Linked DNA regions of Coturnix japonica. The protein of the gene in region 1 interacts with the protein of each later gene in a biochemical or structural test. Links are inferred from orthologs where the notes say so. Each region holds a gene or a part of one and is shown in the gene's direction. Other genes may lie near its edges.

Evidence for each region.
Region 2: the proteins of GRB2 (region 1) and EPS15 form a complex in vitro, tested with the Homo sapiens proteins (2 studies listed by BioGRID, with this or other methods). The link is inferred for Coturnix japonica from reciprocal best matches to the Homo sapiens genes GRB2 and EPS15.
Region 3: the proteins of GRB2 (region 1) and REPS2 form a complex in vitro, tested with the Homo sapiens proteins (2 studies listed by BioGRID and IntAct, with this or other methods). The link is inferred for Coturnix japonica from reciprocal best matches to the Homo sapiens genes GRB2 and REPS2.

The regions. Positions count from the first base shown.
Region 1 is NC_029533.1:9,398,543-9,402,060, reverse strand, and holds part of GRB2 (growth factor receptor-bound protein 2), read left to right. Parts: intron 1-337; coding exon 338-435; intron 436-1,083; coding exon 1,084-1,206; intron 1,207-2,919; coding exon 2,920-3,088; intron 3,089-3,518. UniProt on the Homo sapiens protein: Non-enzymatic adapter protein that plays a pivotal role in precisely regulated signaling cascades from cell surface receptors to cellular responses, including signaling transduction and gene expression.
Region 2 is NC_029523.1:21,490,570-21,494,087, reverse strand, and holds part of EPS15 (epidermal growth factor receptor substrate 15), read left to right. Parts: intron 1-499; coding exon 500-661; intron 662-1,286; coding exon 1,287-1,484; intron 1,485-1,795; coding exon 1,796-1,993; intron 1,994-2,525; coding exon 2,526-2,603; intron 2,604-2,856; coding exon 2,857-2,947; intron 2,948-3,518. UniProt on the Homo sapiens protein: Involved in cell growth regulation. May be involved in the regulation of mitogenic signals and control of cell proliferation. Involved in the internalization of ligand-inducible receptors of the receptor tyrosine kinase (RTK) type, in particular EGFR.
Region 3 is NC_029516.1:109,325,855-109,329,372, reverse strand, and holds part of REPS2 (ralBP1-associated Eps domain-containing protein 2), read left to right. Parts: intron 1-520; coding exon 521-584; intron 585-2,829; coding exon 2,830-2,972; intron 2,973-3,518. UniProt on the Homo sapiens protein: Involved in ligand-dependent receptor mediated endocytosis of the EGF and insulin receptors as part of the Ral signaling pathway. By controlling growth factor receptors endocytosis may regulate cell survival.

The DNA.
Region 1 (3,518 bases):
ATTCAAGAGGCTGTTTTTAGTCAGTGTACCTGCCTTGTCTGTTGCACTGCACCGCTTGGCAGAAAAGCAATGAAAAATAAAGCAACAAAACTTCTAGAGAGAGTATGATTTGAAATAATGATTTGTGTATTAATGCATGGAGTTTATTATAAATTATTGATCCACCTTGTTTTGAAGGCTGATAAAATGTGATGGATTGGGATGGCTGACTATGTGTTTTTAAGGGCTCGTCTTATATGAACAATCTTTGAGACACAAGTGGAAAGAATAAGCTTGTGTCTTCGTCTGTTTTGCTGGAACTTGAAATGTAGTAAGCTTATTTTTTTGTTTCCTTCAGGTTTTGAATGAAGAATGTGATCAGAATTGGTACAAGGCAGAACTCAATGGAAAAGATGGCTTCATTCCCAAGAACTACATAGAAATGAAACCACATCCGTAAGTAGAGCCTTGGTGGTAGTGCCTGTGTTTGGTTGGTTTTAAGCATAGATAAATTGACCTTTTCTGAAGACATTTAAACTGCTGATGGCATCTGGATCATGTGTCAGCAGTGCTGGAAGTCTTCATTAGTGCATTAGCAACCTGAGGAAATTACAAAAAGTTTGTATACTATCGTGTTTACTGAGCAATAATGAAGAGCTCTCTAAGTAGTCCAGCAGGGCATACAAAAACAAACTTCAGCCAGCTGACCAGGTGTAAGAAAGAGAGCATTCCTTTTCTTAGAGCTGGTGTCAGTGTTGTTGGAAGGAGGTGTAAGTATTTTTTCAAGAGAATTTAGAAGGAAAGTAATTGAAAATGCCTTTATATGTTAAGGATTTCACTCTTACTGCATTTCTGCTTCCCTAAATTAGATGAAATAGGGCTATTGTGAGCATGTGCTCATGAAATCATGGTAGCTTCACTGCTAGGACAAAATGTGAGAAGTTGCATAGTTTGGTAGCCTGTAGTAGATTAACAATAAATAGATGCAGTTCAGTCATTTCTGCTAGAATTCATCTGATCTCCGTGGGGATACCTGTGTTGGGCTCTTCCATAAGACAGTTCAACTCCTTAACTTTCTCTGTTTTCTTCTTGCTTACTCCACAGGTGGTTCTTCGGAAAGATTCCCCGAGCGAAGGCTGAAGAGATGTTAGGCAAACAGAGACACGATGGTGCCTTCCTTATCAGGGAGAGCGAGAGTGCTCCTGGGGACTTCTCTCTCTCGGTCAAGTAAGTAGTGCCCAGAAATAATCGTGTGGAAATCAGGGCACTTGATGCTCATTTTGACTCCTGGATAGATAAGTGATTATCAGTGCTGAGGAGCGGCAATAATCAAGATAGCATACCTATTCTTCTGGTGATAATGTATTTTTGTCTTTATTAAAGAGGAAGTACAGATAAGCTCTGTTTTGTAATGAGCCTACATGGCTGACTTGGTGGTGTGTTGCTGTCTGACTTAAGTGTTTTCAGGCACTATTTGTTAATTTGTGGATCCCATTTCTCCTTCCTCCAACTATGAACTGCCCAGTTTGTACATACTGCTTTCCATCCTCCTTTGTTCCTCTTCCATAGAACAAGTCATTATTCTCTTCTGTCTTTGGATAATACACTTCCAAATATTTTTCATGACTGCTTGGCACATGCTTTGGGGATATTCATCTTAGCCAGCACTGGGACATGGAGCTAATGAAAACAAATTCTTTTCCATTTCTCAAATGCATTCCATTAATGGAATTTCAATATAGAGGAATTTCTTTCTGTCTAGTAACATTGAAGGTAGGCAGGAACAGTTCCCATCCTTGTATAACATTTCTAGAAATGCTAACTTTTAATCAGCAGCAATTTCTGATAGTTAACATGTGAGCCATGTTTAACCATCTCACAGCTCTGTATAAGCCGCCATAAATTGAAGTATTAAAAAGTTGGAAGAGTATGGGATGTAAGGTAGCATAGGAAGGAAGGAATTCCATCCTCAGCAGCTGATTTTTATCTTTCTTAACTTTCTGTAACCTTCCCCTTTCCTTCCAGAAATGAACAGGGTTTTCTTTAGTATCTTATATTGATTATTCACGCACAGTTCCTTGTTTGCTGTATTTTTGGCTCATCTTTGGGCTGTACCCAGATTTTGTCATCCTGTACACCAGTCTTGATCCAGCCAACAAACTGAATTAAAACCACTCTTTTTAGAAAGGTGTTTATAGTTCTGCTGGGTACAATAATCTGAGCTGGAATACAAGATACGAATGGGAGCTCCATTGCAGACATCAACTTCCTTCATGAAACTTGGTTTTGACTGTAGCTCTGCTTATCTTGTCAGCTTAGTGTTGCCACCTGGTGGTAGTTTGGTTTTTTTTTTTCCTGGTGGATTAATTTAGAAAAAGCTTTCTTCCACTCACCCCCAAACAGTGATTTGCAAGATTTGAAATGATGAGAATCTCTCAGGTTGAAGAGGAAACAGCAAAGGCAGTACTCACTGATTGTTTCATGTTAACGTTGTAGCCAAGACTATGCCTGCACTTTAAGCTCTTGATGCCAGGTGGAGAATGTACTCCTCACCCATTTTCAGTGTTTTTGTTTCAGAATAAAGTAAAAATGCTAACGTGCTGTTCATCTGGAAAAACTTTGGAGTTGCACTTTACGTAGAATAAAAGTTGAATGCCATCACATGTCAAAATATAGAAGTGGAAAAGTCTGTCTGTTTTGCAATACATCATTTTTTTTTTGTAACTCCATGCTTAGAGACAGTCCTGCCGTACTTGTGGCAGTTCTTTTCCCAGCACTTTTTGTATGTTTTCAAGGGTCTGCTTCACAGCAGCCAATTGATACCTGCAATCATTGTCACCAGCTATGTCCCGAATGATTTTTGTGTTGTAAAGTCTCACAATCCTAGAAGAGTGCTCAGTGACTGTGTTCTTCTCTGTATTGTTTGCTCATTTCCCACAGGTTTGGAAATGATGTGCAGCACTTCAAGGTGCTTAGAGATGGGGCTGGCAAGTATTTCCTCTGGGTGGTGAAGTTCAATTCTTTGAACGAGCTGGTAGATTATCACAGATCCACATCTGTCTCCAGGAACCAGCAAATATTTCTACGAGATATTGAACAGGTGCCACAGGTAAGAGAACTGTTTGTTCAGAGCATATTTAAACTAATGCAACCATGGGTTGCATCTGGGATTGTATCTTGATGGTGATGGAGAAAAGCTGACTTTTTACCTGTAGGAGTTTATTTTTGGATCTTGCTGCCAGAGTTGTACTGGAAAATAATCTGGATGTTTGTGCACAGCCTACCTGCTAAAACTTAGTATCCATTTCTGGTGGTGTTACTGTTGCTGCCTGAACATTTGGCTTGTGTTAATGTTTTTGGGTACTGTTGAAATAAGATAATCCAATTCCTGTGAATTAAGAAGGTGTTTACTCCTGTTTTAGGACACAGTAAGAAAGCACAGTTATGTACTGGTTCATAGCCAGAACTGTCCCGTCCCGTCCATCCCCCCCCCCCCCAAAAGCAGTGAAATTTTGGTAGTAGTCTTGCCTGAAGAAGTG
Region 2 (3,518 bases), on another chromosome or scaffold:
GGATTAATAAGGCACTGATTTTTTTCTTCACCTTGCTACTAAAATGAGTTTGTATTGTTGGTGTGTGTTTCTGAGGGGAAAGGAACATAATAAAGAATTCAGTTACTGAGGAGCTCAATAAAACTTATTGCTAAAATATAGAAGAGAGAATGTAGCAGCCTAAACAAAGGATGACTTCTGGATTCAGAAATGAAGCTTGCCTCCCACTGATTATGTAGTTGTAATCTCTGATTAGTGGTATGATCTTCAGTGTTTCAATGAAATTTTAATGTATTGGGTTGTTTTTGTGGTTTTTTTTTTTTTTTAATGAAAGAAAAAGCAAATAACTATTTTTCTCTTAGAATTAAAGCTTGTGTGATGCACGTGAAATATTAGCCTTTGAAAGGTAACACGTTGATACTCTGAAATCTGACTGATCATCACCACAATTTATACTATGAAAGTTAATGATCAGAGGAGGAGCAGTGAACAAAGGCAAAGCTAATCTGTTCTATCACAGGATCTACAAGATGAAGTAAAACGGGAGAGCAGTAATCTGCAAAAGCTGCAAGCTCAGAAACAGGAAGCACAGGAAATACTCAATGATCTTGATGAGCAGAAGGCCAAGTTGGAAGAGCAACTCAATGATATCAGGCAGAAATGTGCAGAGGAGGCCCACTTGGTAAGGTCTAGTTAGTGGCTTCAGCCCTTAAGGAGAACTGCTGCATTTTGAATATTGCATGCTTGCAGTGTGTTGTGGTGGTTGGGAAAGGAGAAAAATCTTTCAAGATTAAACAGGCTGAGTTTCAGGATTTTGTGACCAGCAGAGACATCAGTTATTTCACTGACTTCTTTATGTCTCAGTGCGCCAACAACTGCAATAAGATATGTTTGCACACATGTAAGGTTGTGTACAAACAAATGACATAAATGTGTAACACAATGTATATGTAACTAGAAACACTAATTACCAGGACTGATTTCTTGGGATTTAAAAAAAAAAAAATTCTAACATAAAATTTCAGAGTTGGTTTTGTTGTGGTTTTTATATATATATATATATCTTTACTATTAGTAATATTTGTATTGGTCAGGAAAACAGCTTAATCTCATTGGGACAAATAGCAAATTAATCTTCTGGTAGAGTATGGTCTGAAATCTCTGCTATAGCTGGTCATAAATCTGGTCATAAATCCTAGCCTTTGCTGGATATATTTGGAGGTGTGGGATATTTTTGGTGTGGTGATGTTGGTTGTTGTTGTTGTTGTTTTCCTAATTTGGCTTTGGAATCCTTGTTTATGCTTTAGATTGCCATGCTGAAAGCTGAAATAACAAGCCAGGAGACAAAGATATCAGCATATGAAGATGAACTGACCAAAGCTCAAGAGGAGCTGAGTCGTCTGCAGCAAGAAACTGCAGAGCTTGAGCATTGCATAGAGTCTGGGAAAGCACAGCTGGGACCTCTTCAGCAACATCTGCAAGATTCACAACAGGAAATCAATTCGGTAAGGCACTGTGAAAAGGGAGGGGGAAAAAAAAAAGGAAAAATAATAATTTAAAATACAAAAAACAGGAAAAAAATGCCAGTGATCACCAGCAGTATGGCCAGCTTCCTTGGCACAGCAGATTCTCAGGTCTACCATATCTCTTCTAGATTAGTTTTGTAGTTCTCTATGAAATTCTATAGTTATATTGTACTTGATTTTGCATGAGAATTACAGCTATATACCTTCCATCTCACATTTAAGAAGGTTAAGTTGTATTCTAGTTTCCATGTACTACTGCGCTGATACACATGCATTATTTCCATTTACAGGTGCAGACAAAACTTCTTGAGCTGAAAGAACTGGAAAGTAACCAATTTAGTTGGCACTCTCAGCCACAGAATGTACTTGTTAATGGAACTGCGGATCATTCTAGTCTCAGCAACAGCAGCAGCGAAACTGCTAACCTTAATGAGAATGCTGAAAGGGAAAGCATAGCTGAAGATGAACAAATAAACAACGTATCCCCAGTGAGTAAAGTGTTTTGCCTGTGTAATTGTGATGCAATGCAGCTGTGAAGTTGGAATAAATTAAGAATGTATTAAGATTGATTGTATTTTGTTTTTAAGCATTTGCAAAGTGAGCTTTCAGGATGTTATTCTGAGGGAGTATTCCAGAGATCTGGAAGTTGATAAGAAAGAAACAGAAAAAGAGGCAACAGAATTCTTTTTGTGCATTTGTTTCCAAAGCTAAATGTCATAAATTGAAGAGCAAAATTAATGTTAAATATGAGCAGCTGTTTCCAATTGGTGCAGCAGAAATAGAATGAAGAATAGTACAGAAATCTGAATGCTGTCTTGCTATTTAAATGTCTATTTTCTTTGTCTCAATTTATCAAACACTTCAGTGTTTTCTAAGTATGAACCTCTTGAGGTATCCTTTAGTATATCCTTACAACAGTTTGGTACTTAAAATGGAGTAAGCAGTGTAGTGCTCTATAAAATGGAGTAAGCAGTGTAGTGTTCTGTTTACTTACATTGAATTGCTTTTATCCTTACGTAGCCAAGAAATAGTCCTGAAACAACAACTGCTGCTGCAGAAGAAGACAAAGAGACTCCAGCTGGAACTGTTACAAGAAAAGTGAGTTTGTTCAAATTTAAGGGAGGAAGAAATGAATGTAAAAACAAAAAAACCCACAAAATAACTAGGGCATGATGCCACAAATGCATTCATCTTATATAGCAGGTTGATTTTTACTGGGGAATGCTGTGGCTCTCTGTTGAGTCTTGATGAATTCAAACTCATTTCAGCTTTAAGAAGTTAATAAATGATAAGAGAATGAGATAAATGTCTCAGACTTCACACCTTTCTTTGCTTCTTTTGGGTTCTTCAGGAGGATCCATTTGATGCTGAATCTCACCCATTGCCTGATATAGTTTCTGAAGCAAGCTTAGAGTTCTTCCAGTCCGACCCTTTTGTTGGCAGTAAGTACACTCTTCTCTCCAAAAATGTGACAGATTAAACTTCTAGTCTTTATGAAATAAATGTGAAAGTACTTGAGTGACAAGAGCCAACAGCAGTACAGAAATATAAATGAGAGTTCTACGGTGTATCTCTTTGCTTTACCTGTGTGGTTTTTTTTCTCTGAGTGCCTCTTTTATTTTTTTCCCCTCTGGAGGTCTCATTTTGGTATTAAAGGTGTGGGCATACTTGTGATACATGTGGTGTCAGTGATCTAATTTGCAGCACAGAGTCACAAACAGGTCATCTGAGGGTTCAGTGAACTGTGGTGTGGGGAGAGTGTGGGTGGCTGAGAGTGAATGGCTGTGGCCTACTTATGGCAAGTTAGGCACTCAAAAAAAGATAATGTGGAACTGTACCATCTGTTCATCTGTGGAAGTGCTATGCTTTATTTTAAGAACTTGCCGCTCAAGAATTCTGTTGCTCCAGTTTTTTTTCTTATAACATTGGAAGGAGTGATCTGTCTGCATAGAGACACTTGGAATATGGGAAGAGTTAATTTGGATTAACTGTTGAAGCAGATGTATGCAGCTA
Region 3 (3,518 bases), on another chromosome or scaffold:
TGTGTTACCTTACATTCTGTAAAATACCAACGTAGGTTTTGTAAGCTTGCATCCTGGCAGGGCTTCCAGAACACAAAGAACTTGTGCTGCCCCAGTAGCAATATGCCCATGTGCTTATTTCACATTTGGGCCATTCAAGGTGATGTTGTGGTTGAAGCAGCAGTTTGGGAGAATAGCAGACACTGCAGCACTGCACTGCCATGCACGTGACTTCTGAGTGAAGCAGAGCTGTTTGTGTCCGTTATTTCATCCTTGGTGACATGGTAATGTGTTAGTTATAATCACTATCAGTGAACCGTTTTTTCTTTTATCTATTTTTCCCATGTGGAGGGAATGGGGAAATGAGGTCAACAGCTCTGTCTGGATATCTCTGTCACAAATGGTCCAACAGCTACATTAGGATGCAGTTAATCCTAGTGCCTACTGAATGTACAGTAACCAGCTGCTTCTGGTGCAGATGCCCCAGCCAAAACAACTGGAGAATCAATTTCTAGCAGTTGATAAGTTGGTTTCCCAACAGGTTCCGTTGCAAAGAATTTCTTCACGAAATCAAAGCTGCCCATCCCAGAGCTTTCTCACATCTGGTAAGTACTGTAGTAGCGTTTGGGATCTGTATCCTGTTTTTCAAAAGATACTTAATTGAAGAATTCTTTTTGAATTAAAAAAGTGTCTTCAGTTCTAATTATCGCTCTTATCTCCAGAATCATTCTCAGGCCCAAGCAGCAGGGTGCTCATTGATCTTCCTGACACGCTTGTTTTCTGCAGGGATGTTTGCCTGCTCAGCAGGACGGGGAAGGCTTGAACAGCAGCGTAACTGAGAGATGTTCCTAAGTGTGATAAAGGAACTTCATTAGCTCAACAAAATGACATTTTTCGTGTAGAGAAAGACACATTTGGAATATTTATATGTGTTGTTGGCTTTATAGTTCTGGCTTTGTTTTGTCAGATGAGGCCTAATTAATGCCTAATTTTTGGTAAGTACAACTACGTAATTCATCAATGCTTTTCTAATGAAGCACCACACTTCCTTTTAATGAACTTATTTAGAAACAATTGCAGATGGAACTGTACATGATAAAATTTGACAAGGATTCTATAATCTTTTCATAAACAACATGGTGCTTTGTAAGTCAGTGTCTTCCTTGCATCTAGGTAGGAAGACAGTTTTAATTGCTGTTCAAAAATGCTGATGAGTTTTTACTTAATATAAGCTCTTGTGAGGATAGATATGAAGAAAAGCTTGCAAGAGCCTAAACATCTATTGAGGTCCAAGAATATGTCTGGAATCTTTTCAGGGCAGATTGTAAGTCAAGAAAATAAAAGTTAAAAGCCAACAACACAACAAAGCTGCTCGGGGAAGAGAAGAGAAGGCTCTGGGGAAGCCTCATTGTGGCCTTTCAATATTTGAAGGGACTACATAAACAGGAGGGGGTATAACTGTTTACATCGGTTGATAGTGATAGGACAAGGGAGCATGGTTTTAAACTGAGACAGGGGAAATTTAGGTTAGATACAAGGAGGAATTTTTTCACTCAGAGTGTGGTGACACAGGGGAACAGGTTGCCCAAGGAGGCTGTGGATGCCCCATTTCTGGAGGCATTCAAGGCCAGGCTGGATGTGGCTCTGAGCAGCCTGGTCTGGTGGTTGGCAACCCTGCACATAGCAGGGAGTTGAGACCAGATAATCTTTGAGGTCCTTTTCAAGCCAGGCCATTCTATGTTTCTGTGAAAAAAAACCAACAGAAACACAACCAAAGATGCATTCTGTTAGGGGAAGTCAGTATTTGAATTTGAAGAAAAGATTATATAAGAAGAACAGATTAAGCCAATATGTTAGTAGAACACGTTGTATTTGTATTGTTCACGTAGGTTATTCTCTGCACAAAATTCAAAGAAAGCATTCCTTTCTAGTATATAATAATAATTTTGTAGTGATTTATCAATTGTTCTACTCTGTTAAGTGTGTGGGATGTTTCAGTCTTTGTCACCATGACCTCAGCAGCTTGAAAATGTAATTGTTATTTTCAAAATGTCAAAACTTATATGTTTATTTATTTTAATAACTGTAACAGTAAGATATTACTTACTTCTGGCACAGGAGTTAATTTATATAATTGAATTCTTGGATACCTGAAGCCCAGGTTTATTGTTTTGTGAGCATTCTAGAGTTAAAGGAACAAGAGATTTAATGTGCAGTTAACAATATTGGGAAACATCAAGAACTTTAATTTACCTACTTTCTTGGGGTTAGTCTTTGTTGCTGATTAAACATTTGCTGAAGTCTGTTTTTAACTTTGCTTGAACTGGCTTAAGATCCTGCATGGGTTAGTCAAAACTGCTTTCAACCATTAGAAAGTTGATTTCACCCTAAGAAATGCAAGATATGTGCAAGGGCTGCTCCAGAAATAATGCTTTCTACTTTATTATGTTGGCCCGTGATGCCAGATGTGGATGTTTGCTTTAAACTAAATGAGGAGATATTTAGATTAGACATTAAGAGGTAATTCTTTACCCAGAGGATGGTGAGGCACAGCTGCCCAGAGAAGCTGTGGTGCCCCATCCCTGGAGGTTCTCAAGGCCAGGTTGGATGGGGCCCAGGGCAGCCCTGCCCACAGCAGGGGTTGGGGCTGGGTAGGCTGTAAGGTCCCTTCCAACGCAGTCTCTTCTGTGGTACTAGGAGTTTTAATAGTTACGATCAAGTAGAAAAAATGGTGGTTGTCCTCTATCAGAATACCTGTCTTCAAAGCTTTATTTCTCCATCCTCTGTGGTTGCATGTGTACATTTCCCTGAGGGGATGGCTTGGTAAATATGTGACTGTTGTACCTGCAGGGAGCTGAGTGATGTGGATTGCGATGGGGCTCTGACACTCCCTGAGTTTTGTGCTGCTTTCCATCTGGTGGTTGCAAGGAAGAATGGTTACCAGTTGCCTGAGACACTGCCTGAGACACTGCTGCCAGACTACCTCCAAGCAGGTAATGTACCTGCAACAGGTTTAAGTCCTACATCCTCCTCAGAAACTCACAATGCTTGTAAACAGGGTTTAATTTTCCACATTGCAGGTGGAGCTGAGTTCATTGCGTAGTGGCTCCCCACTTGGTTTTTAAGGCATGTGTTTCTAATTTGTGTTTATGATGCAGTTGTTGAAGAGTGGATGTATGAAAGCACAAAACAACAGTGTGACATGTAACAGTTACCTGCCTCTGTCTGATTGTCTGCTCCAGTGTACTTTAGGCTCTATTGTAGCAAAAGTGGCAGATGATTATGTGTAGCTATGATAATGCAGCAAGACAAGCAAGGCTTTTAACTCTTAGTTATTTTTTCTTATATATCTGTTTTTTGAAGATGTGTTTAAAGCAGGACTGGACTGCTTTAGAAATTACTGAATGCAATATGTTGTTGCATTCAGTCACCAGTTGTATGAAAGGGTGCTTTTTGTTTTAACTCATGTTATGTAATCCACAGCTTCTGCTGTAATTAATTTTTGCTAATGACGGGGATTACAACAGTTTGTGAAAAAC